Linked DNA regions of Arabidopsis thaliana. The protein of the gene in region 2 interacts with the protein of the main gene of each other region in a pairwise test. Each region holds a gene or a part of one and is shown on either strand. Other genes may lie near its edges. The genes, in order: AT3G60670, LOV1, EMB1135 and HDG2.

Region 1 (6,525 bases), on a different chromosome or scaffold from region 2:
TTGGTACATAACTGTTGAGGAACTCAATTCACTCTCATCGTAAGTACATTTTACTTTCTCTTCTCCTTGTTTATGTGAAATGCATACCGCTTTTCTGACATTTTTCCAAAAAACAAGATACATGAGAGGAAGGCTCACCCTTGAGAAAGTGAATGCTGCTATCAATGACATGGCCTCATATGCTGAAGCAAATGCTCATCTTATTGCAGCCTCAAAACAGAAGGTATATTTACCAGCTGAAGGAATTGAGTTATATAGGCTACAATTGTACTGACGCTTTTGTCTTATATTGCCAAAGCTAGCGGAAAATCTCTGGGAGAAAGCACTTGTAAGCTAATATAACTCATCAACCACACTGTCTAGATGATAGTATCCGTTCACTAGTGAAAACATTGTTATAATCTTTGATTGTCTTGAAACTCTTATATGCAGAAACTACGAGATATCGTAACAGAGCAAGCAGTGAAGGGCAAACATTTCTTTCTTGAAACTGACATGAAGGGACCAAGTTTGAAACTAGACAACACAGGAAAAGCAATACTTACTGTAAGTAACTAATATATCTTCCCTTCATTTCAAAATTTCAACAAAAAAGAAACAACATTTTCATGCTTCCTTAAACTCTTCACCAGAGTTAGACTAACATCGATAACACATGCTTATTGTCAAATTTTGATGTGTCTATTAACAGGTTCTTCGCCACCTTGGTCGTATTAGTGAGACTCGCATTGGACAAAACCGCGTCATCATTCTTATGAAGCCTCACTAGAAACCAACCAACTTGCCTCAAGTAAGTTGTTCATTTTCACAAGCGTAAGGGGTAATTCCGTCATTTTTCAATAGTTTCTTGCTTCTTCTGAGCTCCTTGTACCATAGAATCATAGAAGGTCTACTGGTCCCTTAAACATCATTAAGCCTTAATCTTAATCCTTAAGACCGGCCCGCCTGACAGGCCCAGCTAGGCCCAGGATTTGAATTTATAATATGGACAAAAATGTTTAATGCAATTTTCACATTTGCATAAAAGTAGAAAAACTCGATTTCCGTTATTTTCATAATATTAAAAAAGCAATTTCTCTAAGCAATCTGGTTCAAGTTCCAGTGCACAAATGGCCTGTCCCATTCAAACCTACAAAGTAGCAAAACTCGGTTTCCGTTTTTATTTAGTGACTTTTTACCTCCACATAGTTTTCTTAATACTCCAATACCTTTAAGGATCTTATCTGTGTCACTGTCTATTCGTAAAATCAATAGATAGTAAATTGTAGCTGCCATACATTTATCTTGATACGGACAAGTAAATTTGGCAACATTATTTTCCGAACAGAAGAAGAAAACAAATCTAATAACCAAGCGAAAACGACGATCCTTGCATTATTGTTGTTCATATGTCCTGAAATAAAAATCAAGAGGCACTACGAAATGGGAAGAAGAAAGTGGTCCAGGGAAACAGGAGAGAAAAAAAAAAGACTATTTGCCTCAGAAACATTCACAATTTCACGTTTATCCATAATGTCTGTTCCAATCTCTTTGTCTTCTTTTTTCGTATAACCAATAACCAATTTTAGTCGTCTTTCGTTCGTGCAAAACCCACAAAATACGTTATGCATAAAGACAAAAACACACACTATACAGTCTTATCGCATGCATTTTTTAAAGAAAATTCACATTTATTACCAACCAACTGATATCAAATAATTAATTAACATGTTTACTATTTTGTGAGTTGTGACCTAAATTTTATATACATACAAGAAAGAAACATTCATAAATTTTCTGCAGACCACATTTAGACTTATAGAGTTCTCCATCACTACCATTTTACTTCTTTTATTTTCAAAACGTATCATTTAACTCAGCCAAGAAAGATATGGTCGGTCTAATGCATTTAATGACAACAAATATTAATCCTTTAAGAATTTACTTCGCCGCTGTAAATGTTAAATCAAGCCGTCTCAATAGTACTGAAATTGCTATTCGTGGAGGAAGAGGTATTTTTAAAAAATTATAAAAAATGGGAAGCAATAAAACGGATTATACGAAAACATGTTTCATTATACGAAAAGTATTTAAATTAAATAACATAGAGTTCTCTCATTACGCGGTACAGATATCAGAGTCAGACAAAACCAGGAGAGATCTTTTCAACTATTCTTAATTCCATTTCTTAAAAAAACCTAAAATTCGATTCGTTATTTAGAGATATTGATTAACAATATAAAATAAGACTATAGTAGTTACGTGTATTCATTCTACTTACCACTTGGACCAACCAAATTTCGCCAAACGTCACGAGTTAATAAAGCGGGGCGCGTTGCGGCGGATTCTTCCGACGGTTTAAAAAGTTCACCGGAGCTTCCGTGTTAGTCGTTGAAACCACCTCCGTGACTCTCCTGCAAGTCGTCGACAAGCTGCTTCTTTTCTTCCTAACGATTTCAGTAGTGGCGGTGCAAGCGAGCGCCTGACACCAGAACATGTCTTCTCCTTCGTTACCACTTGACTCGGAAGATGTTCGGTTCGACCCGGTGGGCTCGAGAGTGGAACTCGGTGTCGTTGTCGTGACTTCGTCGGTTAAATCAAGAACGTTGCAGACGCGGAGAAACCCTGAGAGTCCTCTTTGTCTCATTATGACGTCACTAATCTACATAAAACAAACAAACCATGTGTTTGTGTTTTCAGCGACAATTACGTGTAAATATGATCGTACACGCGTGTTTATATTAAAAAGCAGAAAAACAACAAAAACAGAAAGAAATTGAATTGTGTATTTTGAAAGAATTTGAAAAATAAATGAGACAACAAATAAAAACGTTCCTTTTTTATCTGACGACAATTTCGTGTACTCGTGCATCAAAAAATGAAATTTCTAAAAAAGAAGATCGACCCAGATGAAGAAAAGTGGTAAATCGGACTGGGTATGTGATAGAATTTTAAATGAAAACTTAATTAACGAAGAAAAGATGTTCCTTTTAAGTAATTAGAACAAGAAAAAGCAGACCTTGCAGGAGAGACAGCAGAAGAGGTAAGGAGACTGGAGACTCCGGTCACAGGTGATACAAATGTTACCGGAACCACGAAATTGTCGAGACTGAGGCCGTTCATTGATGAACACAACTTTTGAACTGTTCGTTGTGTATGGCTTTAATCATCATCAACACATACACACACACAAAGAAAAAGAAAAAGACAACGAGTATTAATTAAAGCTGTCAAAATTTTAGGGCACAAGAACCAATGAAAATTGGACTTTTAATGTATACAATAAACGGATTAAGAGTTTTATCATGATAATTAAATACAACCAGAACCGAGTTATACCTGAATTAAAGAGCAATCCATTAGCTTAGAACCATCTTCAACCCTCAAAACGTCTCTATACACGTATCTTCTTATCTGCGTAAAGATTCCCAGAAACACACCAAGTTCATATTTTTCTTCCGACAAATATGAAGATTTTTGAAACCATTAAAAAAAAGTTTGTTTATTTTAAGAGAGAGACCTGAAGAAGACGATGAGAGGTATGAGAAGAGAGACAGTGAGGACAGATGGTAAGACAACAATCGATACATAATATGTTCTTCTCGTTCTTCTTATCATCTTCATGATCCAAACAAGCGTTGAAAAACTTGTCTTTTAACAGAACCTCAAGCCATGCAGGAAATTCTCCAGATTCCATCTGCAAAATACCAAAAAAAAAACAGTAAACTTTAAAGACGAAACCCATACATGAATCAAGACCCATGTTTCAATTTCATGTTTTTTGGACTAAAAAGGTAAAATTGAGAAGACCCACCTTGGCTTATCTTCTTCTGGTTATCTACACTGGGAGGTGGTTTTCTCGGGGAAGAGATAGAGAGAGTAAGGTCAAGGTCAGGCGATTTTGAGCTCTCTCAGTGGTGAAATTGACTGACCATTCTCAGAGAGAGAGAGAGAAAGAAAGAAGGAAAGAGAGAGCGGCGCCTGGAGAGAGTGACCACTAGCTTAAATTCAAATGAGTCTTCTCTTCTTTCTCTCCTTAATGATGTGTTGTAATCTTTAGTATTCGTTAATTAATTTGTTTTGTTGATTATTTACTCTCATTTAGTTTTATCCATTAGTTAGAGAAGTGGTTCACTTAGATACGTTACTAACTTACTACGTAATGACTACTACTAGATAGCAGAATTCGATTATGAGTGTTGAAAAGTAACAATTTTGGGTTATTTATCATTATTAAGTACCTTTTCATTGACAGATACAGTTCCAACTTGACAAACAGAAGTGTATATTTATTAGAATTCAGCTTGGCAATAATAATAAATTTTATATTTACTGTCATATGAAAAAACCTTTTTTTTATATACCGTGTGAATATGAACTTTATATTATAATTAATAATTAAATTTAAGAAAGCATTTTCTTCAGAAATAGTATTAAAAAAAATTCAGTCCTCTGGTATGTGACAGTCGTCAATATCAAAATTTTAAAGCCAAATTCAGAGTTTTAATCTCTCTTTCTTTAGACAGAAAAAAAAAACTCTCTTTCTTATAACAATATGAGTTGGGTTTTTAAAAAGAAAGTAAAACGAGATTTCTTTATACAACCAATTTGATTTTCCTGTATCGTCTCTTCATGATATAATTGTATGTGTTGTTTTTGTTTAGAAGGTCTGTCTGGTTCACTGTGAAAAAGTGCTAAATGACAAGACTCTCCCCAACAGTCTACTTTTCATTTGATCATTTCTAAGTGGCGATTTCGTAAACCCAATATAACCTACTAAAAACAAATTTCTCTTTTTACTACTACGTGTATTTCGTTCAGTAAAAATGTGAGAATAAATACCCAAATTAAAGCTAAGCACCGTTTTATAATTAAAAACATTACCATCCACACAAAAAAATAAAAATAAGCTTCATTAATAATTAAGAAAACATAATTGTAATAGCTAAATGAAGTATATGATTGATACATTGAATAGAGGAAGAAATAGAGAGCAAATTCCAAGAACCCTAAGACCCATTGTCACAGCTGTAGACTGTTCTCGAAAACCAGTGCAAAGTTGATGGGATTTATTAGTTATTGCTTATACTACTAAACTTACCTACGTACCTCACTAGACCACCTATTATTATTTTCATTTTATTATTATAAGTAAAATAATCTCTCAATTTTTGCATACAAATTTTTAAAAATGAAAAAAAAAGAATATGAGTGTATGTATAGAAAGAGAGAGAGAGAGAGGGACAGAGAGGTGGATCAGAGTTGGTACGGAGGAGCAGCAGCAGCAGCCTCAGGCAGAGAAAGAATGCGACGCCACTGCTTTCTTTTGATCTGATCCGATTCGATTTCGATCCAGCTGTCCCCTTTTCTCGTTAGCCTTTTAGTTACTATTGATCATCAGGGGTATTTTAGTCAATTTACGATATCTACATGGGCTGGGGCTTTTATCCTTTATTTGGGCTACTTACGATTGTTTGTTATGGTTGATCCACATTTCTCCTTAATCGAATTTAAAACATCTGGGGTGGTCCTGATCACAACAGCACGATTGGTGTTATTGATTTAGTCAAAACCGACGTCGTTGAAGAACAAACTTTGATCTAACAACCGAAATCGTTGGTAACCAAACGGTCAAATGAAATCAAGGGAAAGTGACATACGACCCTCAATTTTGTCTTTGTATTTGATTTTATGTCCCACAATGTAATAAAAAAGATAACTATTTCTATATGTCATTGTGGAATTTAGACAGAATGATATAATAAACAAATGTATCAATGTAAAATGTTATTTTTTTTTTAGCGGGATCAGATTACAAAAAGTTACACAAATTATTAACTTAAAAACCTTTCACTTTCAGCATATACTCGAACACGGTAAATGTAAGGTGCATCACTAATTCACTACTTCCTCTCTTAAAAAATATAGGATACTTACATATTTTAAGATTTATTTATTTATATCAAAAACTATAATCTAATTTTTTATTTTTTTTAACCAATAATATAAGAGACTTCATGATACAAATGGTCATAAAATATCAAATGTAATGAAAAGGTACATTAAAATTTGTTCTATATATAAATTAACTTAAATATATTATTATATATATGAATATTTCACTAAAGTAAATCTAATGTAATAAATTCAGGGTGATTGTAAATATGATTTAGCAATTATACAATATCTAAATAGATTAGGTGAAGTAAAAAAGTGATAATAAATATCATTGAAGTTTAAATTGTCAGTAGTTTGTACAAAAAAACATCTAGACATTAATATTTGATAAATTTAATGGTAACAGTTCGAACATAGTCTGGTTATTCTCATCGGTTTTGAACACAAACCACTGATACTGGTCTTTATTAAGCTGACAACGCAAATTTTGAAAGTTACTTGATACTATTAAATCTTTTAGATACCTTTGATAGTCTTATGGCGTTTTCGACCGTGAGGCTTGTTCAGGATTGTCGATCAAATCTTTTTTTTTCAAATGTGTTGTTCTCCCATTTGTACTTTCTTTGACTATACCACTCACCTAACACA
Region 2 (7,704 bases):
AATTACCAGACGAATTATCTTCTTACAGCTTGGTTAAATCAATTGCTAAAGCACAAACTAATGGCGTGTATATATATTGCATATTTAGCCAAATAGTAAGCTTGAAGATTCTAAGACTTTCAAAGTAATCCCTTGCTGAGTTGCTATTATGCTGTATATGTACAATAGTATATAATAATTAAAACTTTAACGAAGACAAACTCATGTGAAAATGTAATAATCAGAAGACAAAATATAAGTTAATAATATGTCATATATATAATAATAGAAATATATGTTCTTTTCGAATTAAAATTAAAAGGTCTTAATTTTTTACAATTGCAAAAACTTTAAACTGAAAAAATGATTTAATCTTCTGGAATGTACATTATATAATATCCGCCACCCTACTTGCTACCCCTAGCTAAAAGCCAAACCGATGGAAGACTCGCTTGCATTAAATTATGCACTAGCTTAATCTACTTTTAAACTCTCTTATAATACATTTAATTCCTAATTTCTATCGCCATTTTATATTTTTACTGATATCAATATTCGAAGGGTCCATGCCTATGATTCCATGTCATACATAATATTTCCTTTCATACCTACATTCATTTTAATGAAAACCTTAAATATATATCCAAAAGCTATACATTTATGTAAACTAAACTGGTATAATAATTTTTGAAATATGTGTATGTCTACTGATTTACTATTTGATTAGTTCGTAGTAAATATATTATAAATTGTTTAAACATAAAAACAAAAAAAATCATGTAACTAGATAATTTTCTTGACGAAGATTCGAATTAACAACACAAAAAAGTTCATTTTCTGATATCGCAATGGTCTAATTAATGGTTGTTGAATAGTTTATCTTTTCCACGTTTCATAAGCTTTTTTGGTACGCGACATCCATATTGAAAAATGTCTGTCTACACTGAGCTCAATCCAATGAAATTTGTTGTGAATGAGATATATGCATTCACGGATTTCTAAAAAATATGAAGTCCATGACATCCATTGAAACATTTGACAAAATAAAAATATAAAATATGAAGTCATTACAACGTAGAGTAAGGTTTCTAAAAACCCCACTCTCGTTTCGTAGAAGCCCCACTACCACCTCACTTTAATTTCATTCATTATCTCATTTACGTTGATACTTTAAATTCATTTTTCCATATAAACTTGTAAGTATGAAATTTGTACTTAGTATATATTTTATCTATCTTTCCATGATGAACTTAAATATATTACAGTTTGCCTAGCCTTTTTAGCTCAGCTATATATATATATATATATGCTAATGTTGTTACGATGTTTATTGTTTTGTGTCTATATCTTATTTACTTTTTTGAATTATTAATAAAATGGAACAATTATACATATAGATTATAGATACATATATCTAAATATAATATATTGTATCTATATATATTAATACAAATTTTAAAGAACTGGCGGGTTTCTAAATTCTAACATATGTACTGTAAGTTCAGCTTCTTACTAAGTCATAGGAACATGGAGAGCGTTGGCAAAATCATGGTCAGTTTGTTTTGCATTCATAATTGAAGACATAGTAGTATCATGCAATGAAGATATGGTGGGCCAAATATATCATAAAAAAAATAGCGAAACAATAAGAGAACGTTCGTGAAGCTGAAGCATATGAAAAACACGTAAATATATTTATGACGAGTGACATAGTAAGCATACGTGATATTATTATTTAATTAGTAATATAGGCCACCAATCAGAATTCTTTGTCTCAACGATGAATAAATTAACTATAATAATCCAAATTTTTAACATTGTTTTAAGAATATCCGTTATTCAATTAGTCTACCTATAACAATGAATTATTATGGATCCTTTATCGCTATGCCTTGATCAGGAGAATTAGATTAGTTACACTTTCGCAATTTTTGTAGCGATGGATTGGAACAAAAACCAAAACAAAATATAGACTATTTACACATAAATTATACATGAAATCAACTTAATTTGTTATTCTCTAAAGTTTAGATTGTCTTTATAAAATACCAATCATATACCTAACTAAAACTAATGAATCTTTAACGTGCATGAGATGGTGCATGTGCAAATAAAACTATAAAGAAAACCATGATATATTTTTTCTAAGAATGATAGTTTTTGGGAATTTTAGACTTTCGGTCTATATTTTTCGTATGTCCACACCAATTGTTGATATTGCATTTAAAACATTAATTATTATTTTTTCCAAGTATAATTGAACTAGTAACCATGAGGTCCATGACATCCATTTGAAAGATGTCAATTCGTAATATTGTTTCAAAATATTTTTTCGTTTATAATACATAAACTTTAATTTTTCCTGTAAAAGATATCAACTGTTCTTTTCATTTGTGTTACAACCCAATAATTATTAAATATTTGAAACTTTAGTATTTAGAAAAAATACATAAAACTAATAGATAGATATTTTATTTTATTTTGAAACAAAAAGCTAGAAATGGAGAGTGAGAGAAAGGTCCAAAGGCACGGCTAAGAAAACAAAACCGTGGACACCCTGTCCTCAATTTGACAAGTCTTTGTCTCCTCCTTAACTCTCTTCTTCTCTCTCTTTGTCTTATTCTAGTTTGGTCTCAACTCCCAAAAACGATGACGTTTCATTCCTATATAGTCGTCCTCTCTTCTTCTTCTCCTCCTCTTATCTCTACTCAACACCACTCAATTTCATCTCTCTTTTTCCCTTCCATTGTTAGTATAAAAACCAAGCAAACCCTTAATCACTTTTCATCATCATATATCACCTTAATCCACATGCATACACATATCTAGTCTTTTTGATATATGGCAATTGTATCCTCCACAACAAGCATCATTCCCATGAGTAACCAAGTCAACAATAACGAAAAAGGTATAGAAGACAATGATCATAGAGGCGGCCAAGAGAGTCATGTCCAAAATGAAGATGAAGCTGATGATCATGATCATGACATGGTCATGCCCGGATTTAGATTCCATCCTACCGAAGAAGAACTCATAGAGTTTTACCTTCGCCGAAAAGTTGAAGGCAAACGCTTTAATGTAGAACTCATCACTTTCCTCGATCTTTATCGCTATGATCCTTGGGAACTTCCTGGTAAATATACATTCACATAAACACACATAAATCATCTCAAACTATTTGGAAATCTTAATTTCTATTCATATGTTAAGATCTTTCTTCTCTCTTATCACTTTCTCTCTCTATTTCTTTTTTTTTAACCTATATATGTACCTACCTCCTTATGAAGTATTACTATGTCGATCGTTAACAATTCTCAATATCTTTAAACGCTTCTCCCTCTTTAGTTTCTTTCTTAAATTAACCTAATTAAACAACCTACATATATATCATAAGATATACAAATATGTGTATGTTTTCATAATTAGCTTATGTATGTTTAATCATAGATATATGTATATGCAGCTATGGCGGCGATAGGAGAGAAAGAGTGGTACTTCTATGTGCCAAGAGATCGGAAATATAGAAATGGAGATAGACCGAACCGAGTAACGACTTCAGGATATTGGAAAGCCACCGGAGCTGATAGGATGATCAGATCGGAGACTTCTCGGCCTATCGGATTAAAGAAAACCCTAGTTTTCTACTCTGGTAAAGCCCCTAAAGGCACTCGTACTAGTTGGATCATGAACGAGTATCGTCTTCCGCACCATGAAACCGAGAAGTACCAAAAGGTATAAATTCTACTATAACTCTATATATATCCTATTCATACATACATAGATATAACCCTAGCTAGGTGGTGAGGCCTTTAAAATTGAAATTAATCCCTAGACAGTTTGAATTTTTTCTTTTTTGACTAGTTTTATTTATTTATTTTGGAATTGATTCGATAAGATCAAAAATACTTGTGAATGGACTAAATGTCAGGCGGCGTTTGCGCTTAAATCCAGAAAAATGTTCATGTCATATGCGTGAACTCTTTAAATTGCTAGACATGGCCCATATGTTATAGTAGAATACATTAATAGATAGATGCATACACATATATATAAACACACAAGTATCACACTCGACATTCATATACCTTAATTCTGCAGAGACATAGTTAGTTTTTCTTACAATTTATGACATGAATGTTCCTGCTCTTCCTCACATTAATTCATGTCTTCTATTTAAGTTACCCAACATTTTTTGAAATAATTTGGCATATATGAATTATACCAACATATTTATATGCGAACATTTAAAATCTATACGAATGATAACGGTTTATGGAGTAGACCGAAAAAATATTATGTATACGGAAAATGACAATGGATAGATAAATACATTTTTTGGGCTCTTTCGACTTATATGTCGTCACCATTTGAAACCATAAATTTATAAAATTTTCTATGTATATATATGATATTATGATGTATGCATAAGACAGCTAAAACAACAGGGTTGACATAATTATCTATGTGTATGTATTGCACATTCACTTGTACTAATAAAACTAAAATTACGCAATTAAATATATAAAAAATAATAAATATAATCATCTTAATTATATTTGCATTGTTACGTCATATGATAGTACTCTAAATTTCTTCTAAACGTGCTATCTTTTTTTGCTAATGCTAACTTTACATAGTTTGTGAATCTTCTTTCAAAACCATATCTTCGATAAATGATATTTTTCATAGATATTGTTAGTCTATATTTGATAATTTGATATATGTATCAAGTCTCTAATCAATGTGCTCATGTATAATTATAGGCTGAAATATCATTGTGCCGAGTGTACAAAAGGCCAGGAGTAGAAGATCATCCATCGGTACCACGTTCTCTCTCCACAAGACATCATAACCATAACTCATCGACATCATCCCGTTTAGCCTTAAGACAACAACAACACCATTCATCCTCCTCTAATCATTCCGACAACAACCTTAACAACAACAACAACATCAACAATCTCGAGAAGCTCTCCACCGAATATTCCGGCGACGGCAGCACAACAACAACGACCACAAACAGTAACTCTGACGTTACCATTGCTCTAGCCAATCAAAACATATATCGTCCAATGCCTTACGACACAAGCAACAACACATTGATAGTCTCTACGAGAAATCATCAAGACGATGATGAAACTGCCATTGTTGACGATCTTCAAAGACTAGTTAACTACCAAATATCAGATGGAGGTAACATCAATCACCAATACTTTCAAATTGCTCAACAGTTTCATCATACTCAACAACAAAATGCTAACGCAAACGCATTACAATTGGTGGCTGCGGCGACTACAGCGACAACGCTAATGCCTCAAACTCAAGCGGCGTTAGCTATGAACATGATTCCTGCAGGAACGATTCCAAACAATGCTTTGTGGGATATGTGGAATCCAATAGTACCAGATGGAAACAGAGATCACTATACTAATATTCCTTTTAAGTAATTTAATTAGATCATGATTATTATCCATGACAATAATTATTAATGCTGCTTTGCCATATTTTCATACTCCTTATATATTGTTATGGCGATAGACAATGATTGATTACTGCGAGTTTATGTAATGGAACTGATTCTCAACATATATAGTCAATTAAGTAGTTTTTTTTTTCTTGTGTTAAAGTTAATTTCTTTAAGCTAGATTCAACGTAGTTAAAAAAAAAAAATTCACTGTAATATATGAATACAAAATGACTAAGGAGTGCAATCCGTATCAAAAGTTCTCAAACAAACCAAAGAAGAAATAAACTTATTGGATTAGATTTTCATGTACGAGCCCTAACCGAAACCAGACTAAAACCAAACACTAACTAAACCATAACAATAGTAACCGTAAATCCAACCTAGTGATATTTAATTTGGTCTTCATTCCATTTCAAAATTTCAAATTGAATGTTGATATTTTTTGTTGTTTATTCATCACTTATTAGAATTCATTTTGCATTGTCATTTACATGCATTAGATCCAAGATGTTTAATTTTAGTTACCTGTTAGTGCGACTTTATAGATAAACAATCCACTAACTCTTAAGAATTCAACAACTAATTTTGAGATAGAAATATATAAAGATAAAAGATGTTAGCTAGTTTTTTGTCTTTGTAAATATAAGACTAATTAGGGTTTGACAAAAAAAAAAAGCATAGGACGTGCAATATTTGGTAAGAGCAGTTGTTCCCGTGATTTTGTCAGATATGACCAGCATGAACAGTTGTATGTTGTAAGAAATCAGTTCCCTTTTTCTCAATGAGAAAAACAAATTTAAACTTGACTTAACTCTCATACTAGTCTTTTTAATCCTAATTATTAACAATCTTTAATAATATATGTAATGTGGCAAAATCCTAATATATACTGACTTGAATATGATACGAAAGTACTAATTTTAAAGTTTTTTCCCTTTCTAACCGGTCGATGTAACCGTATTTGCATGTTTTCTTAGATTATTTTAAATAATATATGTCTATCACCTATATTAGTAAGTATATATTCATAGATTATAGTTGATTTTGCCCAAAGAAAAAAGAAGATTATAGTTGATTATACCACATCATTGATATTCTGTGACGAATTAGATTACAGTTGCGGTAAACGTATTCGCTAGCTAGTACGACGTGCTTAACGCAAAAATATTCAAAGATAACGAATCCGATTAATATTGGTTCGTTTCTTAATTCTTACATCTAGAATCACACATAAAAACAATAAAATAATTAAAAATTTGATGAATTTTTTATTTTTTTGAGTGATAAAAGGCAAAATGTTTTCCGTTTTTTAGTAGCTTTCTCTTTCAAAATATCTATTTCTGGTGTATATCGTGAAAAAAACTTTCAAAATACGTGAATGTGATGATCGTTGAAAACTTCAAATCTCATTTCCCCTAGGTTACTATAAAAGCCCACTATCCTTTAATGGGCCAGGCATGCTATTTCTGTACAATACAAGATGGACCTGAATGTTTTAACTTTTAACTTTTATCTTTAAGGTCAAGTTAATTGAAAACAAAAACCAAATTTGTGGATCAATTTGGATGCCTCAGCCTACGTATAAAAACATGTTTTTTTTTCGTAATATTAATGGAAATGAATATGTTAAAAAAAAAAAATACATGTTTTTTTCGTCGACACTTTTAAAAATAAAATAAAATTTAAATAAATGTCTTTGACCAAAATAAAAATAATGTAAAATTTGGGAGTGGGGAATGTAGCTCGGAAAAAAATAGGGTATGTAGATCGGAATTAATAAATAGATTTTATATTATTACATAAACAATAATAAAATACACAATGTTGTCTTTATTTAATTAATACAAAAATAATAAAATAGACAATGTTGTCTTTATTAATATTACTTCTCAGCCCCAAAATTAATCTTTGATCGGTCCCTTTTGTTTTATCGTTTTAGGGTTTGTAGCTCCTTTCTCTTTTTTTCTTTTCTCAATTTCCCCCAAATTAAAAAAAAACTCTCTCTTTCAGAGATTTACAAATTTCATTTCTCCAAATCCGAAACCCCAAAGTGAATATTTTTCCTTCTGGGTTTCTTTTGTTTGCCTGGAAACATTTGTCTCAGATTTTGATTTTGACCGGAGTACTCATATTCTCCGGCGATTTCTCCGGCGACATCGTTTGTGAAATGGAGGGAATTACTCATCCAATACCTCGTACTGTTGAAGAGGTCTTTAGCGACTTCAGAGGTCGACGAGCTGGTCTTATTAAAGCTCTCA
Region 3 (7,268 bases), on a different chromosome or scaffold from region 2:
CACAACTGACTAGAATTTGGTTTCTCGTTAGGGAGAAAAGCACTTGCTGACAACAACTCTATCCGTAGCTCTGCCCAAAATTCTGCAGACTTATTGTACATTGCCTACAGAAGAAAGCGAGTAATACAGCACAAAAGTCCTGATTTTAATTTTTCGACAGGGATCTCTAAACTATAAACAGGGGAACACTCGAAATAATGAGCTTGCTTGCCAAAAAATATCAAAGCACCATTGAAAATTATCTAATCCCAATAAAGCAGACAGAAATTAATGTAAGAACTTGGTTCAAGCTACCTCAGAGACCCCCTACTCTTCATATATACTACTTTGTTGAGCTTACACGACATTTATATAGAGCTAGATAGTCAATTAAGATATGAGAAGCAATCAAGCAACATAATATTAGATAGAAGATGATTTACCTCCATTCCTGCTTCTAAACGAGCTTCAACAATCTCAAACTCAGCCCCTTTGTAACTCAGGGTTCGGCATACATACATCCCCCTATTACATAGAAGGGGTGTTAGAATGAATTATGAGCAATGCAAATGGCTAAATAGTATGACACGGCTTGTAAAACCTCGCTTTCATATCCATGGCAACCAATTCCAACGCTCCTGTCCCACCTTTATCAAGGGCACCTGCACAAAGTTGTGTTAAAGTTCCATTCCAAGTTATGCAATGCATAAGGTAGAGTAAGAGAAGCGAAGTAATTATTAGAATTCAGTGAATGCGGTCAAACTTCATTTAATGAAATATTTTGTATATGCTCTAGACAGAAGCTAAAACCTGACACTTAAATGAATTCATGTTTATCGAACTATAAGATAGAACGTACTAATCCAAATGTTACACACACACACAAAAAAAAAAAAATCAATTAATCAACAGGAGTAGAAAAGAAAACCAACCTAGGAATTTGTTAAAATCACTAAAACTTGTTCCAGCTCCCCAAAGACCAAGCCTGACCATATAACCCATGTTTCGTGGTTCTGATGCCCCAGTAGCCGAGCAATAAATAACACGTGCTTGGGGGATCTTATCCTGCTTTTCCAGAATTCATTAGTTAGAGTCAACTAGATGGCACTAACCACAAATTAAGCATGTTAAACTAGAATATACACTATATTATCTGAAACCGAGAAAAAGTACAACCCAAAAAGACAAGTCGAAGTATATAATCTCTCACTCTTCAGAGCCAAGAGCAATATTAAAAGCAACACTGATAAGAACATTCAGTTTCAAGTAGCCAGACCTGAATGTCAACAACTGCCTGTCCGATGCGTGTCGGCTGACTCCCAGCTTCAGGTACCAAATTTTTCGCTTTATGGCACTATAAAAAAGGAAAACAAATTAGTACCTGCACAATGTACTAAAGATTAGAGGTTGGCCCAAAATTGATAAAACCAGTGATCAAGCAACTTACAACGACAGGGTATACTCAAATTGTTCAATTCACAAAAAAAGGGGGATGATGATTTTAACGCAAATAATTTAATATACTTCATTCATAGAACTGTTACCTCATCAAAGATCAAGAGACCATCAAATTCTGGTCCACACCATTGAACAAGCTGCTGTAAACGAGAACGGCCCTTCTCAGAGGAAGCAATGAGGCTATTGTATGTCAAGAATACCACTCCTTCTTTAATACCAACATTTTTCGAGTCAAGCTTAGAATAGGGTAGCTTGTTCAAAGGATTCACTGCACGTCAAACATATTGTTATTTAGTTGCAGAAAAAACAAACTGGACATTTGTTCACTTGAATGAACTTATCCATCGACATGGTTCCCTTGATTTGTCGTATTTTTCCATCTCCTAATATTCTATTAAAATTCCAAGCTCAAACCTATAAAGGATTAATGAGACTAAGAATCAAATATCCTATTGGACTATTCTAAAGTTACAGTCCAACTTTTATTTACCTGAAATTTTCATGAACTGCACAAACATCAGCTACCCATAACATTCTCTAGGCATGAAGACACCATAAACAAAGTTCAGGGACCCATTACCTTTATCAGTAAAGAAAATAAGTTCTCTAAAAATACATGTGTACTCTACATCGTAATATTAAAGCATGAGTCAATTTATCCATTCAGCAAAGTCAGAATCTCATTCTGATCCAGTCTACTCTATACCATCCACTTTCAAAATTTTCTATTCAACAATGAGCCAGAAAATAATTTATAGCATAAGCTATATGTAATTATGTATAACATATGAAGCATTTGTGACCCAAGAAAATAAGCGAATTACAAACTTAATTTACAGCCAAAATCAAGATAATACCTCCAACGCATGTAGCACCCACATCATCCAAGTCCCTTCTTGCATCATATTTCAAGTCTGAGCCAATAGAAATCCACCTATGTAAATCATAAAGGAAAAGGAGCAAATAGTATTAGAACTCATCCTACTTTAAGTTATCTAAGAAACCAAAAAAGGACACCGTAGACACAATTATGCAAATGTAGTATAATCATAAGTCAGATTGAATTGAGCTAACAATATCTTATCAAGGATGTAAATGGCGCAGAAGTATCTTTCTACAAGACTTACAAAGCTTTCCTCCTTCCATGTTTCCAATTTTCCCAAATCAACCCGGCAATTGTTCGCCCTTTGCCCACACCAGCACCATCTCCAACAAAAAAGCCTGCTCTGGTACCATCAGCAAGGTGCTGGAGATGCCTCTGTAATAAAAAAAAAACCATTGTCATACAGGTAGAAGATACGTTTAAATGCCATTAACCAAACTTTTTGCCATTTAAAAGCAACCTGGCAAGCGTAAACTAATGTCTCAATCTGCAAACACGATAAAGCCTTTGACCTTTCAAGCTCTTCCTTGATTTTGAGATCATAAGTAGGCTCTGGGGGTTGCACTGCAGATAGAGATGATGTTTCCACAATTGGATCAGGATGAGGAGGTCCGATCGAAAGTTTTGGGGGACGCTTCACAAAGAAACAAATTAGTATCATCAAAAACATTGAACAGACAGAAAAAGATGATCTCAAGATGAGGCACTCACATAATCCATAAACGTTTCTCCAGCCGTTCCACCTTCATCTTCTTCTCTCTCCACTTCAATAGCTTCCTCATTGACTTCTTCGGGAGGAGGCGGAGGCGGGACTGTGGGAGCAGCAGGAGTAGGAGGATTAGAATGAGATTGAGAAGCAGTTAAAGACCGATTAAGCTTGGAGACATCAACAGCGAGCTCGACATGGCACTGAGGACACGAGAACCGAGTGAGTCCATGAGGCACATTGAGGATAGCCTGACAGTTAGCGCAAGGCAATTGCATCTTCGTCGGATCGATTCCATGTGCCGGAACCGGAGGCCTAGGTAGATTAAGAGGCTTAAGCTGCTGTTGAATCGGTGGCGGAAGCGTCTGAATTGGCTGTGGTGGTTGTTGTGGAGACTGCGGAAACTGCGGCCGTGCCCTAGAAAGAAGCTCCGGCGGCAACATTTGGGGAAGTTGACAAGTCGGACACGAGAACTCCACAACGCCGGTTTTCACCCTCAGAATCACGCGACAGCCTGCGCACCTAACCTGTACATCGCCTCTTATTACACCTCCGGCGGCGGAATGCGGCTGAGCTGGGAGCGGCGGAGGCGGTTGAACAGGCGACTGCGTCATGAGCCGCGGCGATTGATCTTAAGAGAGATCCGTGAGAGGCCTTAGGATCTTGTGGCGTTGAAGGAGATAATTGAGAGAGGAAGACAAAAAAAGTATAAATCCAGTGTAAGTAATGAATTTCGTCAGAGCGCGAAAGGTTCTTCTTCGACTCCCTTCTCGTTTTTTTTGGTTTCAGATTTTCTTCCCTTTTTCTAATATTATTTTGGGATTGTTTGGTTCATCTAAAACTAATTATAATTACCCAAGAGGAGTCGAAGTAGGAAGATACAAAACCACTTCCGTACCGGTTGGGGTAATGGTAAGTGATGGGTTGATGGATCACGTGTCATCACGTGACTTGCCAGCTCACCGTTCGTTAGTTTGTGTGGGCTTAAAATAATAAATCCACATAAGTTTTGGGTTTGTGAACTTTGAGACCACTTAGTTGGGCCTAAAAGGGTTACAAAAGGGCTGATAGATGGGCCTATTTGTAAATTAAACCTTTTAAACATATCTACCAAGAAGTGTACAAATTTCTGTCTGGTTTGTTCTTCCCATTCAATTACCAAACAGCCAACTACCAACAACCCCAATGAATATACTTTCTTGGGATTGGAACGATTCATTTTCACACAACGTGTGAAAATTAGAACAGAAACACAATTATCTCTAACAAAAATCAAACAGCCAAACGTTTAACCATCGGCATCAATATCCAAACGAGACAAATTTGAATTATTTTGTTATTCAAGAAATCCATGTGTTATAGGTGTAAACTGTAAAATGAGATTGTTTCATCAGAGTGGTGCTTTGATGGCTCATTCTTAGAAACACTTTTCAACTAACCAAAAAAAAAGATATGTGGTAAGTCTTAATGTAATCAAGTGATAAATACTAAATTAAATCTACATTAATTTCACATGTGTTTTCAAATTCTTCACCATTTCATGCAATGACATTATTAACGGCGACTTTACTCCGCCGGTCTTTGCACTCTTCCTCGTCCATAGTGTCACATAGATCACTCCCTCTAGTCTCTGGCAATCCAACTGCAAACAATCCCAACAAACCTATAGCAAGACCAAACAATCCGAACGACCAGAACGCGTTTTTCCGACCAGCTGCTACCATAATAGGGCTGAAAACTCCACCAAGCACCAAAGCCTGTCTAGCCATTGCGATAGCCGAGTTTCTCACACATGTCGGAAACAGCTCGATCGTGTATATCATCTCCATGTTAAAAGCCGAACACGCGCTAAAGTAAGAGATTAGCTCTAACGCCAACTGTAACGCCCCGTGGTTTCCAATTCTCATATTATGTAACGCAAATATGAGAACGCTAGAGACTCCACCTAAAGCCGTAAATCCGATAAGCGCGTTTCTCCTACTGAGTTTATCGACTAGGAAAAGCGTGATGAGGTTCGCTGGTAAATCCATCAACGCATTAAACGCTGCACTTAAATAGATGTTGAAATCAAGATTCGATAACGCTAAAGGCATCCCGTAATAGACCAAACCAATCCCGAACGCAATGGCCATTACCGCGGATAATCTCTTAAGCGCCCATCTTTTCTCTACCAACACCTTCATGGTCGTGAAGATGTTAACATTAGTACTAGGCTTCTCTTCATCTTCTTCAAAAGGTAAGCTCGAAAAACTCATAGATATTGCACCACCACTGCTTACATCAGTAGACGGAATCGAAGCAACCCTTTTGAGAATCGAAATAGCTTCTTCTCTACGGCCTCTAACGAAAAGCCACCTTGGAGACTCACAAACGAAAAACCGAACAAGAACGCAGTATATTATCGTTGGAATCGAAGTCCATGCGTAGAGAATCCTCCAAGAACTTCCTCTGTTCATGTAAGCCATCAAAGGAAGAGACAAAAAGCCAAGCATGAATCCGAAGAAACTCATTATCCCTACTCGTCCTCGCCATTTCTTCCCAACTAATTCCGTCGAAAGAACGAGCGCACATGTCCCTATCGTCGCTCGACCAAATCCATTAACGAATCGAAGAACAGCGTAAACCCAAATGTTTGGTGAGAAAACCGTTAGCATCGTTGATATCGCCATAACGAGACAGGACAGAAACAACATGTTTTTACGACCCAAGGAAGAATCAGCAAGTGTTGAGAGAACCAAACCTCCGATTAAACATCCGACGAAGAAAGAACTCTCCGGTAAGCCCTTGACGAAAGAGCCGGCGCATTGGAGACCCCATTCGGATATAACAGAGACGTGAGGAGAGTAATCCCAAGACCATGCGGTTTTGGGGAGGATACAGATGTTGGAGATGGATTCATGGCAGATCGAGTTCGAGTCGGTGCAGTGCCACGTGGGTTCGGAGTCTGTAAACACAGAGATGAAAGTTTGTTGAGCGTCGAAAACACCGGAGAATGAGACTAAAGCCGCTTGAAGAAACTGAGCCCACCCAAAGCTTCCAATGTAACTCTCGATTGTGTCGTCGAGAGATCTCGGTGATGACGAGTTGGAATCGGTCAGAAGCGGCTGAGTTGGTTCTGCCATGTTGCACGAGTTTTCACCTCTCTTTTTTCTTTTTCTCTCTTTTTTTGTTTGTTTGTTTGTTGGGATTTCTTGTTTGTTTTGTTTTGTTTTGTGGAAGCATTTGAGACGGCGAGTCTTCCGTCCTCCTTTTATAAAAGGAAAGCTCGGAAAGTGTTGACTTTTCCACGTTGTAATCAAGTTAAATTTTTATTTTCTAAAAATGTGGTGTACAAATTGTTTACAGTGTTATGACTCCATATAATTGTTGTAATCGGATAAATATTTCTTTTTGAAAACATAAACGCGTGTAAGAAAAAGAGTAATGCTTTTCTGTGTTATATTAATAATCAGAGTATAAATAATCAGACCAGTGCAAATTCTGTTAATTTAACCAATTTCGATTCCCCAATTTTGTTTGATATTACATTTTCTAATTTAGATAGTGATGACATTGGTGTGATTATTCTGTGGATAATGAGCCTGACGTTACTATGAATCGTTTGTGGGTAAGGATGAAAACATCTAATTCATTTTTTAAAAATTTTTTCTCTTTTTGGAGTCAATAGTTTTATACTTTTATCATCATCGCTTTCTCTATATATATATATACAAGACTGATGGTAATAGTATCTAAAATATCCACGAATTTAAGAAAATAAATTAATCCAGAGCCTCCAGATAATTAGTTTAAGAGCCGCCTCCAGAATAATCTACGTTTAAATTCAAGTGTATAATAACGGGTATTTGGCTAAAATTTCTAAAACAAGGCTTTTGAATGTTGACTATAATATATTATTACGTATAATATAAACGTAAGTAGGCATTGAAGATATTTACATATTTACCTATTGTTCTATAATAAAATAAATAAAACAAGAGTTCGCCGATTCTCAGTTCTACTTTTTGTCCAAAGCAAAATCAAATCTACTGACTAATCCCGTTTGATCGATGAATCGTGGCCATACAAATAATATTATTATCTTCACTTGTCTCTTTTGTTGTGAGAAAAAACCATTTGATATGATTAAAAGTAGTATTAATCATTAATCACGATGGTAACGTGGCAACTGGTAAGACAAATCATATCAATATCAAATATTCACACTTTGATCGAGGCAGAGACTCGACAATGTCGAGATGC
Region 4 (10,025 bases), on a different chromosome or scaffold from region 2:
TCTCTGGAAGACTTACTCATCCTTTTTCTGTATATGCCTAGAAAGAGGTGTTTATTTTTCCTTGTGAAAACTTTATTGCTTTCTGATTTATGTGGAATTCTTGTTTGTTGACTCAGCAACAATGAAATGTTTACTTGGTTGATATAAAATTCATTCTTGACACTACTGCCTGTGCTCTTCCAGTTCCGCGCCACTGGACTAGGGTCTTAACTTGGTCCTCTTTGAGTCTTGTTTGAATTGGTTCGGTGTAATTAAACCAGCAATTAGTTATAAAAATTAGAAAGAGAGAAATAGCTCGGGTCTGTTGGTTCGGTTAAGTAAAACCAACAATTAAATAAACCGTGCGTGAATCTCAAGAATTCGTCTCTTCTTCTTCTTCTGTTTCATTTTTGTGGTCAACGACTCGGGAGAGAGGCAAAAAAAGATGGGAGCTTTGGGGAAGCTGATCAACATCTCTCTGTTTTTCTTCTTCGCACTGATGGCTATCAATGTACCGCTTCTCAACGGTCAAATACTATTTCCTGGAATCTACCCGAAGCTCCTCACCGATCTGAAAGACTGGTACAGCTCTGAGTTCAACGATTACCTCTTCATAGAGAAGCCTCTTTTCTTCGTTGGACTCGTCTGGCATGAGATCATATTCCTATTGCCTCTCTCCATTGTCAACATCTACGCCATTCTTACCAGCAAGTCGTGGTTTGGTACCACTTCTTTGTTGTATGGAGCTTCTTTCCTCACTTCCATGGTACATTTTCTTCTTTCTCTTCATTTTCATTTGGCTCAGTCTATGTATATTTGTTTTTGATGTTGTTGATCTGTAAATGTTACAACTTTCTTGATTTGGAAACGAAAATTCTTTTGGAGTTCTATATTTTAGTATATGTGATTGCTCTGCTTCTCTGAGAAGGCTAGATTGTACCGCTTTGTTTGTAAGTTTCTTTCACGTTTTGTTTTTGTGTGTTTTGTGAATCTCTAGGCTGCTATACTTGGAGACATGATAGGTTCAGAGAAGGTGACTAACAAATTGCTATTGGCGTATTTGCCTTTCGTGGGTCTTGCAATTCTGGCAATGCTTCGTGGTCTGGTGACTTGTTCGACCAAAAGATCAACTGTTTTAGCCAGGAGAAAGCTTGCTTGAGGATAAACCAGGGTAATTTCTCATTTGAAAACTTTACTTTATCACATGGTATGAATGTTCAATGTGAAAACATTATCCCTTCTAGAAATTTTGTTCAAGTATTAACTCAGCAACAATTCCTTGGTTGAACTTAACCTAAACAGAACCAAAAGGTAAATTTACTTGGCAATGGCCCTTTTGAGAGACACTCATTGTCTGGTAAAAAAAAGTGTGAGCTTTCCCCTAGACAAACTCACATAAGCTTACAAAAGTACCAAAATACTTGTATAAGATATTTATACAAAAGAAAGACAAACTCCAAATTCCTGATGATGGTCCATCTAACCACAAGAAGGAAAGAAAAACAGTAACTGTAACACAAAAAGAAATCCGAAAGCATTCTTTCTAACCTAGTTTTTGTTTTTGTCTAATTCAGTATGTGACAGGGGAAGTCAAATTCCCGAACCTCGTAAAACCATCTACATATTCACTTTCAAGTAAAAAGTTTTTCACTGCTTAGTTTCATCAAATAAGCAGACCAAAACTTAACACTAACAAACACTCAATGGTATTCTCTTGTGAGGTTCGATCTTGACTCCTCCGCTTTTCTCAAACTGAAATCTCTCTCTTTTTTCCATCATCACCATTTTGTTATTTCCTGCAGAAAGAAGAAGAAAAATATGATTACATCATATAATGGCGTAAAAGCGAGAAGAATATATTTAGTGAAAGTAGTACCTAATGGATGGTTTTCAAGCAGTCTCACAAGACATTGAAGCTTTGATTCTCTCAACAGTGCAAGCTATTAGATTGTTGACAGTTGCAACAGAGCCAAGAGACAGCTTAGCCGTAGGAACTGAGTCAACCAGAATCTGAAAAGCAACAGTCAAGAGCGACCCTCCATCTCCTCCAGGGGCTCCACTATTGGCATTACCATCAGGAAGAATAGCAAAACCTGATGGAAGCAGAGCCACATAGTCTGGATCACCTCCATTAAGCACTATGTTCATAGCTACAATATCGACTGGAGCATAGATCACAAAGGAAGCTGTAGGATCAGTGCAGCTCTCTTGTAGGATCAGCATATTGCTCTGGCTAGAGTTTGCACTCTGTGACATAAAGAAAGATTGAAAACTCTTAGCTAGGATCAGATGATTATAACAATAGTTCAAAACCCGGTGTAACTCACATTTACCCGAAGAAGAGAAACACAGTTTCCGGTATCCCTCCCGTTAGCAATATGTGCCATTTCTTGCACAACTCCTCCATTAGACAGAATATCCCACTGCAAAATCTCACAAAAACATCAAAACTCTGTCCAAAACAGAACAAGAGAGCGTAGTAACTAAAATAGTTACCTCATTTCTTGAATTCTCGTCTCTGAGGAAGTCAAAGACTCGCTTTGGAGGAACAGGGATCCAAAAAGAAGTGGCTGCACTAAGAACAATACCAGGAGGCCTTCCTGGATCATCCACACTCTTCCTAGTCATCACTCTAACATCTTCAGCTCCTGTACCGGACAATGTAGTCCACGTGTGAGCGGTTGAAGCACTCACTCCTGCACAAAAGCTTATAACCATCCGCTCTGCCAATTTCAGCATACTCCTCCTCCCTTCTTGGTTGGTTATCACTGCATATTCATTAATATAGAACTGTGATTCTGACTCTGACTCTGATTATGAAAACTGTTTATGAAACAAACAGTAGGTTATACCGCCAACTTCTCCAGAGGAAATGTTTGTAGCCATGACACTAGCTAACCGCTCGCATTGGCGGTCAAGAATGGCTACCCAGCGTTTAGCACCAAAGGCATGACCAGTACTAACCATGTGTTTGTATAAGTTATGAACTCCTCTGTCATCAACTTCCACATGCTCCACCCAAGTCACCTGTTACATTAATTCTCTCTACTTAAGTAAACATTTTGTATAACCTAATGTTTTTATTATATTACCTTAGAATATCCATTTGGCAATTCTTGAATCAAACATCCTGAAGCTCGCCGCCTGCATCTAGCCGGGGGATTTGGTTGGAGACTATCCAACGAAATATCGACAACCGCCCACGAACCATCTCCTTGTTGTTTACAGTAACGTGCGAAATAGGTTTCACGTGTTGGGACTAATGGAGATGGAACTTGAAACTCTGCACTCATCTGCAAGCAAAACAGAGTGGTTATTTCAGTTTGAAATTTAATTTTTACAGAATAAAAGCAAAAAAAATTACCACTTGAAGAGCTCCATTATAGTTTCCTGCAACTCCTGTCGATAAAACCGCTAATGTCATTGCTCTAGAAACCATCCCCGCGAAAATCGTCGACCATTGATTCTGCAACATCATATCAATGTTGTTGAAACTAAACAGAGAAGATTGCTTTTAAGTAAAATGAAAATGTTAATTACCACATCCATGAGAATCTCAACGATGTTAACATGATTCATGATCACAACCGCGCTTTCTCGCGAAGCTTCTGATCTATATCCAGCCGGTCTAGGTCCGATCCCTCTAGGAAAGGTCCTTGCATATTCTTCTTCGTCTAAAACCAAACTCTTCCACAGAGGCTCGTCTACTTGAACCATCCTCATGAGCTCTTCCATTGCAGCCACGGATAAGTCGATGATGACAGGTTTGTCAGATTCTGTTGGTGCAGTGATGGACTTAAGGAGATCGTTTGGATTGTTTCCATAAGCTTCTCCTCCAATATTTCCCATGGCGAGTTCTAGTGGACGTGGAGGAAGAGGAGGAGGAGACATAAGTGGATAGTTTGAGACTGGCTTGCCTACGTATTTAGCTGCGATTGCGGATATACGGTCGATCTAAAACAGACAAATAAGAAAGATTATTGATCCTTGTGGTTTTCAAAGTTTGGTCACAAGAAGAAACGTTGAGTAATGTTGTTATTATGTACTACTACTCCTTACAGTTCCAAAAATATCGTTTTAGTATCTCAATTTAATATCATAATTTTTTCTATTCTTCAATGAAAAAAAAATGTTTAAATTCTCTAATTTCAATACAAATCTATAAAAGTTTTTATTTTATGAAGAAAGAAATGATTATTGTGAAAGCGATATAACATTAGTGGTATAAAAACAAATTCTAATTTTTTATTTTATCTTCTTGACAACATTTAAGTGTAAAACTCTTAACATTATTTGAACATTTAAAATAGTTGATTCTCATACCTCTTCCCTTAATCGAGCATTTTCGAGACGGAGTTGGTGTTCGTCGAATGACATTTCTCCGATAGCTGTTGGACCACCACAATTAGGACACGAAGCATTTGCAAGAGCCTCTCGATATCTTAGGTTGTCGTTTCGAAGCTTTTCGTTCTCCGCCCGAAGATGTGAGTTCTCATGCCGCTCGTGATGATTCTGCGCAAATAAAACTTATATTCCGGTTATCTCTAAAGTTTTATACAAGTGATTTATTTCTAATTTGGGTAAAACGAAGGAACAAAGGATTTTACTTAAAAAGAGGAAAAGTGTATGTTTCAAATAAAACACTCGTGTACACGTTATGTGTTTCACCGTATTTGCATAACGTAAGCATATGTGTCCAAAACGTTTCAATCTATAGATTATATATGGCTCTAACTAAGATAATAAATAGGCAATGTTGTTACAACCAAACAATTTTCTATAGCTTGATCCGCCAAATATATAGTTCTGCCAAAGGAACAACTTTTCAATTGAAAAAAAAAATAAGTAAGAAATTTTAAGTCAAAGTGTCTCAACTAGATCTAAAATCTGCCAAAAGTCAATGAATTCATTCTGAAAGAAAACACCAGCCACCCAAAATGTTCTTAAGTATAAAGATAAGCCCTTCAATGTATATATACAAGACTTAATATGAATGAAATAACAATTTAATTAACAAGTATATATATTTTCTCTAATATATATAGATCCATTAACTAATGTATATATGTTCATAATATAAAAAGTATACCTTCATTTGGGTACGTTTGTTTTGGAACCAGAATTTGACCTGAAGAGGTTCCAAATTCAATTCACGGCTTAGCTGTTTCCTTTGCTTGTCATCTGGGTGAGGACACTCTTTGAAGAACCTATTTAACAACCAAAACAAAAGAATTGTCAAAAAACACACAAGAAAATTGAAGTAAGTGAGTAAGTTAAACACATACGCTTCCATCTCCTGGATCTGAAGTTGGGTGTGTCGATGATATCGTTTCTTCTTGTTAGGATGAAGAGGATCTTGGTCGTTTCCTGATCCTCCTTCTTGATTCTCACTTCCCGATTTAGTATTCGGACTGTCGAATTCATCGTCCCGAAGAAATCCTTCATTATTGTTGTCTTCATGGTTGTAGTTGTGGTTATTGCTGTCTGCGTTGTTCATAGCCGCAAGCAGCATATTTGGCTCGAACATCTTTTCTTATACTCCGGAAACTGAAAGCAAACCCTAGAAGCAAAAAAAAGTAGAGAGTTTTGTCAAAATTTAGGGTTTGAAGAAGAAGGGAAATTTCTTCGAGGCTGGAAAAATATGGCAATACTTTTGTCCACGTCAACAACTTTACAACCTTCTTTTTGTATGAACAACAATAACTTAAATCTTTCTTCGGAGTCGTTTATCTTTCTTCTTGAAGATCATACAAAATGATATAAGCAAACAGAAGAATTGGAGATGATTGTAGGAAACAAAGGACCCACTAATTGAAAGCAAGAAAAAAGAGCCTTGCATAAAAAAGACATCACAATCACAAATTAATTTGTTATTGAATAACCAACCCAAAAATAATGAATTTTCACATACTCAAAATTATTCGAAACTACCGATTTTTTACCCTTTTAAAAGAAAAGAAAAAAACTAATCAGCAGACTGAAATAAAAACTATGATTGATTCAAGAGTCATATCATATGTAGTGTAGATGGAAATCAATTGTTGTCCAAAGAAAAAACTTTAAAATTTCTACACTATAATAGCTTTGATGGATGGTGATTTAATTTAAAATTTCGAGGTATTTTGATCAGTTTTGATTTAGATGGGATAGGAAAGAGAAGACGAAAAGAGAAATGTTGGACTCATTTGTTCAAAGCAAATAAAATGGGAAAAAGTAGGTACAAATAAATTCCCAACTCTATCCTGTTTATTAAAAAAACAATATTTTCGTGAGAACAAAACAAAATTTAATTAAATATAATCATTAGTAGATTTTCAAAAAATAAAAACTCTTCAGGAAAAAGTGTAAACTACTATTTGGCGATTAAGAAAGAAAAAAAAATTGAAATGAAAAAAATAGTATTATATCTGTGCACCTGTGCGACGGACCAACATATAGTTATTATACAACTTACAACCAACGTGACATAAGGCCTGGGTGATGTATTAATTTTTTCCAGCTATTTCTTATCATCATCATCGTATTTAAACGTTTTTATTACACACATTAATATGTAAATGTATACTACTACTATAAAGTATATACACGTGTTTATATATAAAACCAAACGTATAATGAAAATAAGGATATACGAAGAGAATACAAACCTTTCTGTTTTTTTTGGTAGGCAAGGGAATACTAACCTTTAATCTTTCCTCTTTATTGTTTTCTTGAAGGTTTCATCTCTGACTATGCAGAAATTGATAAGATTATTTAAAGAAGAATACAATAAATCAGAAAGTCAGAAAGCAAATTAGGAGAGGAATGAAAGATATTAGAGGCAAGAAATCAATTAATTAATGCTAAAGAAGGCAAAATTTAAGACAAAATATAGATGACTAACTGAAAATTCAACATACAGGATATATTAAATTATAAAAAAAAAACATCATGAAAGTGAGAGTTTTATAAAGATGCTAAGAAAACTGAAGTGTAATGGATCCAATGATACTTTAAACAAATAAATTTGTGTACATGAATTAATGGATAAAATAAAGAAAACAGCAGAAATGATGAGGTTTTCGAGACATACACTGGGATATAGGAAGAAGCGACGAAACCCTAGAGGGAGAGAGAGAGAAGAGTAGAGCGGTGTCTGGTCTGAGATTTGTTTCTCGGAAAACCGCTGATGGTTTTGTGAAGCGCGGTTTTGTTGGCGAGCAAAAGGTTTGAAAGGTAGGTGCAAATCTTGGAGGAAGAGAGATGAGAGAGTAATGACAGAGAGAATTGAGAGGGTGCAATGAAATTAAATGGTGCGAGAGGGACACTTAATTATCCTACACGCTTATATATATATAGAGAGAGAGAGATATGTTACAATTTATTTTATTTATGTTACAAAATTATGTGTTGTTTTTCATCTTATATACAATGTCAACCTAAAATAATTTTATTTTTTATTTATTTAAAATATTATAATGTGGTGAGGAATGACGGCTAACGGTCTATGAGCCTATGAGACTTACATTTATCTATTAGATATGTAGTTATTTTTAAAAAATCATTAGCATTATTCATAACTTATGCATATGCAATAAATCACCACTTAACAAAATTAACTATATTAAAAAAAGATTTAACTATATTGAAATTTGCTTTAATACAGTTCTCCATTTACAGAAAAAGTTAGACAATAGTCCCCATTTGTCAAGGATACAATTTTAAAAGTAATTTTCTGAAATTTTAATACTCTTAGATTATTTATAATATGGAAAAAAATTATATAGTTTTTTAACTAAAATTCAATGACTTGTTATAGTTAATATTTATCTTTATGAGATATAAATTTAATTTTTACTTTCAAAAAATATGACTATTATATTTTTAACTATTTTATTTTATTATTATTTCATATCTTTGTTATAAATTTAATTGTAAAGAAGGAAAATTTCATGATTCTTCTTCCACATGGCATTTTCTTAAATATTATAGAAGTTTAGGTTGTATTATTGTTAGTCAGACAGAAGTTGATTGAGTGATGTATTTATTTTATTTCATTTAAAAGAAGAAAATCTAAAAATCATCACCTTAATTTTGAGTTTTGTTTACGAAACAATTGTTTTTTCAATTTAAGGAAGTCAATGAAATATCACTTTTTTCACAGTAAGACTTCATTTTACATGCCTAGAAATATTAATTACTTTGTGGCCCAAGCATTTATAACTATAACGTGCAATTAAGCTATTTAAAATACGGATCACCCATTAAAAAGGTGATAATTTGTAAAAGCCATGCATTCATCTTAATTTATCACGCGAATATATAGAGAAATATACTGCGTATTTAATTACCTAGTTCTTAAGCTTTGTTTTTTTTTTTAAAGTCCTTATAGCTATAGCTTTAACACTCAAGTTTTTCTTTTCAGTAAGTTTATACTTTACCTAGATTCTTTAAAATAACTATATATAAAAAAACAATAACCCAACTTATTTCTGATTTTTACTGTATATATGTAGGTACAGATATATAGATGGAGTTATACGTACGTACGTATGCGATAGGGTGGCGAATAGTTTCGACGCATTAAATGTGTACACAGAGGCTGCATGGGCTTTAGGCCATTTACTGCTCTCATGCCTCTCTTGCACTTTAACCTCCTCTTCCTTCTTCGTACTCTCCTACTAAAAAAAACTAGTAATTCAACGCCTAACATTTTAGTTTTTTCTTTTTTTTTTTTTTTTTTTTTTAGTTTTTTCTTTTTTCCTGCTACATCACTAAAAGTTAATTATTTCAAAAAAGAATTGCTACAATACTATTCACATTTTAAGTTTGTTTCATCCTCGTAAGTCTCAAATATTTATTTTTAGTTTATTTCTTTTTTTTGTCAAACTTTTAGTTTATTTCAATTAGTGTTTTTTCTGCCAATATGATCAAATCTGAGATTCAAAATGGAATTCTTCTGTTGAAAAAATGGATGCTTTTGTAATAAATTCAAGATCGTAGTTTTTTTTTGTTTCTGGGCTTCGTATATGGGCCATAAGACGGAAGTAAACTTTTGGCCCATTATATATTTTATCCCCAACGAGAATGGCAAGGCCGAAAGTCTCATTCTCCGAGAGTGGAAAGTTAGTTAAGGAAAATGATTGATTTTTTTGTTTTGTTTTGCATTAGTCTATAGGACGACTTGTTTCACAAGAAACTAGCCGTATATTGTAATATCCAATCACTGAATTGAGCAACTTGGATAGTTTACATTGAGAATGCAGGAACGTGGATTCCACAAACTATAACAGTTTATTATAGTTTTTAACTTTTGAGAGCTAAGGACTAATAAAAAAATTCCCCAAACTACATCTTCTCCAAAGTCAATAGCTTTTCAAAGCGCAAAAGATGATTTGAAGCTTTCTTAATCGTTGCATGATTTCGATTTCTTCTAATTGTGGAAATTTAATATATTTAATTGCAGCACCAGCAGAGATCAAGAAGATAGTGGAGGCCATGCAATGTCCTCCTCGAGCTCCTCTTGTATTTCAACCCTCATTAAGAAACAGAGGAAAAATGCAAATGGGATTATCTAAATCTTGTTTGGCATTTCTCCATGGACTATTTCAAAGCCGCTGGGTGATCTATAAAAGGCCTGAGAATGTCTCCTTCATCTTCATCTCCAAAGCTCGTTCTCACCTTACTTGGCAAACACTCAACGAAGAAAGGAGAGAGAGACGGTAATGGCGATCAAGAACATTCTCGCCCTTGTGGTTCTTCTTAGCGTGGTTGGAGTTTCTGTCGCCATTCCACAGTTGCTTGACCTCGACTACTACCGGTCTAAGTGTCCCAAGGCAGAGGAAATTGTTCGTGGTGTCACAGTACAATATGTTTCTCGCCAGAAAACCCTTGCCGCTAAACTTCTAAGGATGCATTTCCATGATTGTTTCGTCAGAGTAAGCTTGGTTCACTTGTTCGAGACTGTTAACCAAGGGATATGAAAAAACTAGCTAGTCCTAACACTCTTTTGTAATGATTCATGTAGGGATGTGATGGTTCCGTTCTTCTGAAATCTGCAAAGAATG

What was found.
Region 1: the proteins of LOV1 (region 2) and AT3G60670 interact in a two-hybrid assay, tested with the Arabidopsis thaliana proteins (one large-scale study listed by BioGRID).
Region 3: the proteins of LOV1 (region 2) and EMB1135 interact in a two-hybrid assay, tested with the Arabidopsis thaliana proteins (one large-scale study listed by BioGRID).
Region 4: the proteins of LOV1 (region 2) and HDG2 interact in a two-hybrid assay, tested with the Arabidopsis thaliana proteins (one large-scale study listed by BioGRID).

What each region holds. Positions count from the first base shown.
Region 1 is NC_003074.8:22,422,399-22,428,923, forward strand, and holds AT3G60670 (PLATZ transcription factor family protein), read right to left. Parts: upstream 3,972-6,525; 5' UTR 3,794-3,971; intron 3,677-3,793; coding exon 3,500-3,676; intron 3,394-3,499; coding exon 3,319-3,393; intron 3,140-3,318; coding exon 2,999-3,139; intron 2,642-2,998; coding exon 2,297-2,641; 3' UTR 2,038-2,296; downstream 1-2,037. Other genes in the region: AT3G60660 (spindle/kinetochore-associated-like protein), read left to right, coding at 1-39, 118-223, 299-328, 433-546, 692-769.
Region 2 is NC_003071.7:645,224-652,927, forward strand, and holds LOV1 (NAC domain containing protein 35), read left to right. Parts: upstream 1-2,314; 5' UTR 2,315-2,781; coding exon of another isoform or gene 2,782-2,820; coding exon 2,821-3,112; intron 3,113-3,254; exon of another isoform or gene 3,255-3,442; coding exon 3,443-3,711; intron 3,712-4,742; coding exon 4,743-5,426; 3' UTR 5,427-5,597; downstream 5,598-7,704. Other genes in the region: AT2G02455 (uncharacterized protein), read right to left, coding at 2,782-2,994; AL6 (alfin-like 6), read left to right, coding at 7,614-7,704. UniProt on the Arabidopsis thaliana protein: Transcription factor that acts as a floral repressor. Controls flowering time by negatively regulating CONSTANS (CO) expression in a GIGANTEA (GI)-independent manner.
Region 3 is NC_003070.9:29,849,576-29,856,843, forward strand, and holds the start of EMB1135 (RING/FYVE/PHD zinc finger superfamily protein), read right to left. Parts: upstream 3,892-7,268; 5' UTR 3,641-3,891; coding exon 3,032-3,640; intron 2,955-3,031; coding exon 2,781-2,954; intron 2,696-2,780; coding exon 2,565-2,695; intron 2,372-2,564; coding exon 2,295-2,371; intron 1,706-2,294; coding exon 1,524-1,705; intron 1,334-1,523; coding exon 1,256-1,333; intron 1,045-1,255; coding exon 912-1,044; intron 642-911; coding exon 581-641; intron 505-580; coding exon 423-504; intron 105-422; coding exon 1-104. Other genes in the region: OCT2 (organic cation/carnitine transporter 2), read right to left, coding at 4,565-6,148. UniProt on the Arabidopsis thaliana protein: Required for normal embryo development. Necessary to acquire heat stress (HS) memory, by modulating nucleosome occupancy and regulating heat-induced gene expression.
Region 4 is NC_003070.9:1,511,519-1,521,543, forward strand, and holds HDG2 (homeodomain GLABROUS 2), read right to left. Parts: upstream 7,383-10,025; 5' UTR 7,052-7,382; intron 6,709-7,051; 5' UTR 6,663-6,708; exon of another isoform or gene 5,540-6,662; 5' UTR 5,507-5,539; coding exon 5,265-5,506; intron 5,187-5,264; coding exon 5,069-5,186; intron 4,492-5,068; coding exon 4,303-4,491; intron 3,934-4,302; coding exon 3,520-3,933; intron 3,446-3,519; coding exon 3,344-3,445; intron 3,273-3,343; coding exon 3,072-3,272; intron 3,045-3,071; exon of another isoform or gene 3,007-3,044; coding exon 2,832-3,006; exon of another isoform or gene 2,748-2,831; coding exon 2,476-2,747; exon of another isoform or gene 2,403-2,475; coding exon 2,307-2,402; coding exon of another isoform or gene 2,286-2,306; exon of another isoform or gene 2,227-2,285; coding exon 1,870-2,226; 3' UTR 1,856-1,869; exon of another isoform or gene 1,782-1,855; intron 1,776-1,781; 3' UTR 1,383-1,775; downstream 1-1,382. Other genes in the region: AT1G05220 (Transmembrane protein 97, Putative), read left to right, coding at 425-745, 977-1,138; AT1G05240 (Peroxidase superfamily protein), read left to right, coding at 9,684-9,896, 9,986-10,025. UniProt on the Arabidopsis thaliana protein: Probable transcription factor. Involved, together with PDF2, in the regulation of flower organs development by promoting the expression of APETALA 3 (AP3) in the epidermis and internal cell layers of developing flowers.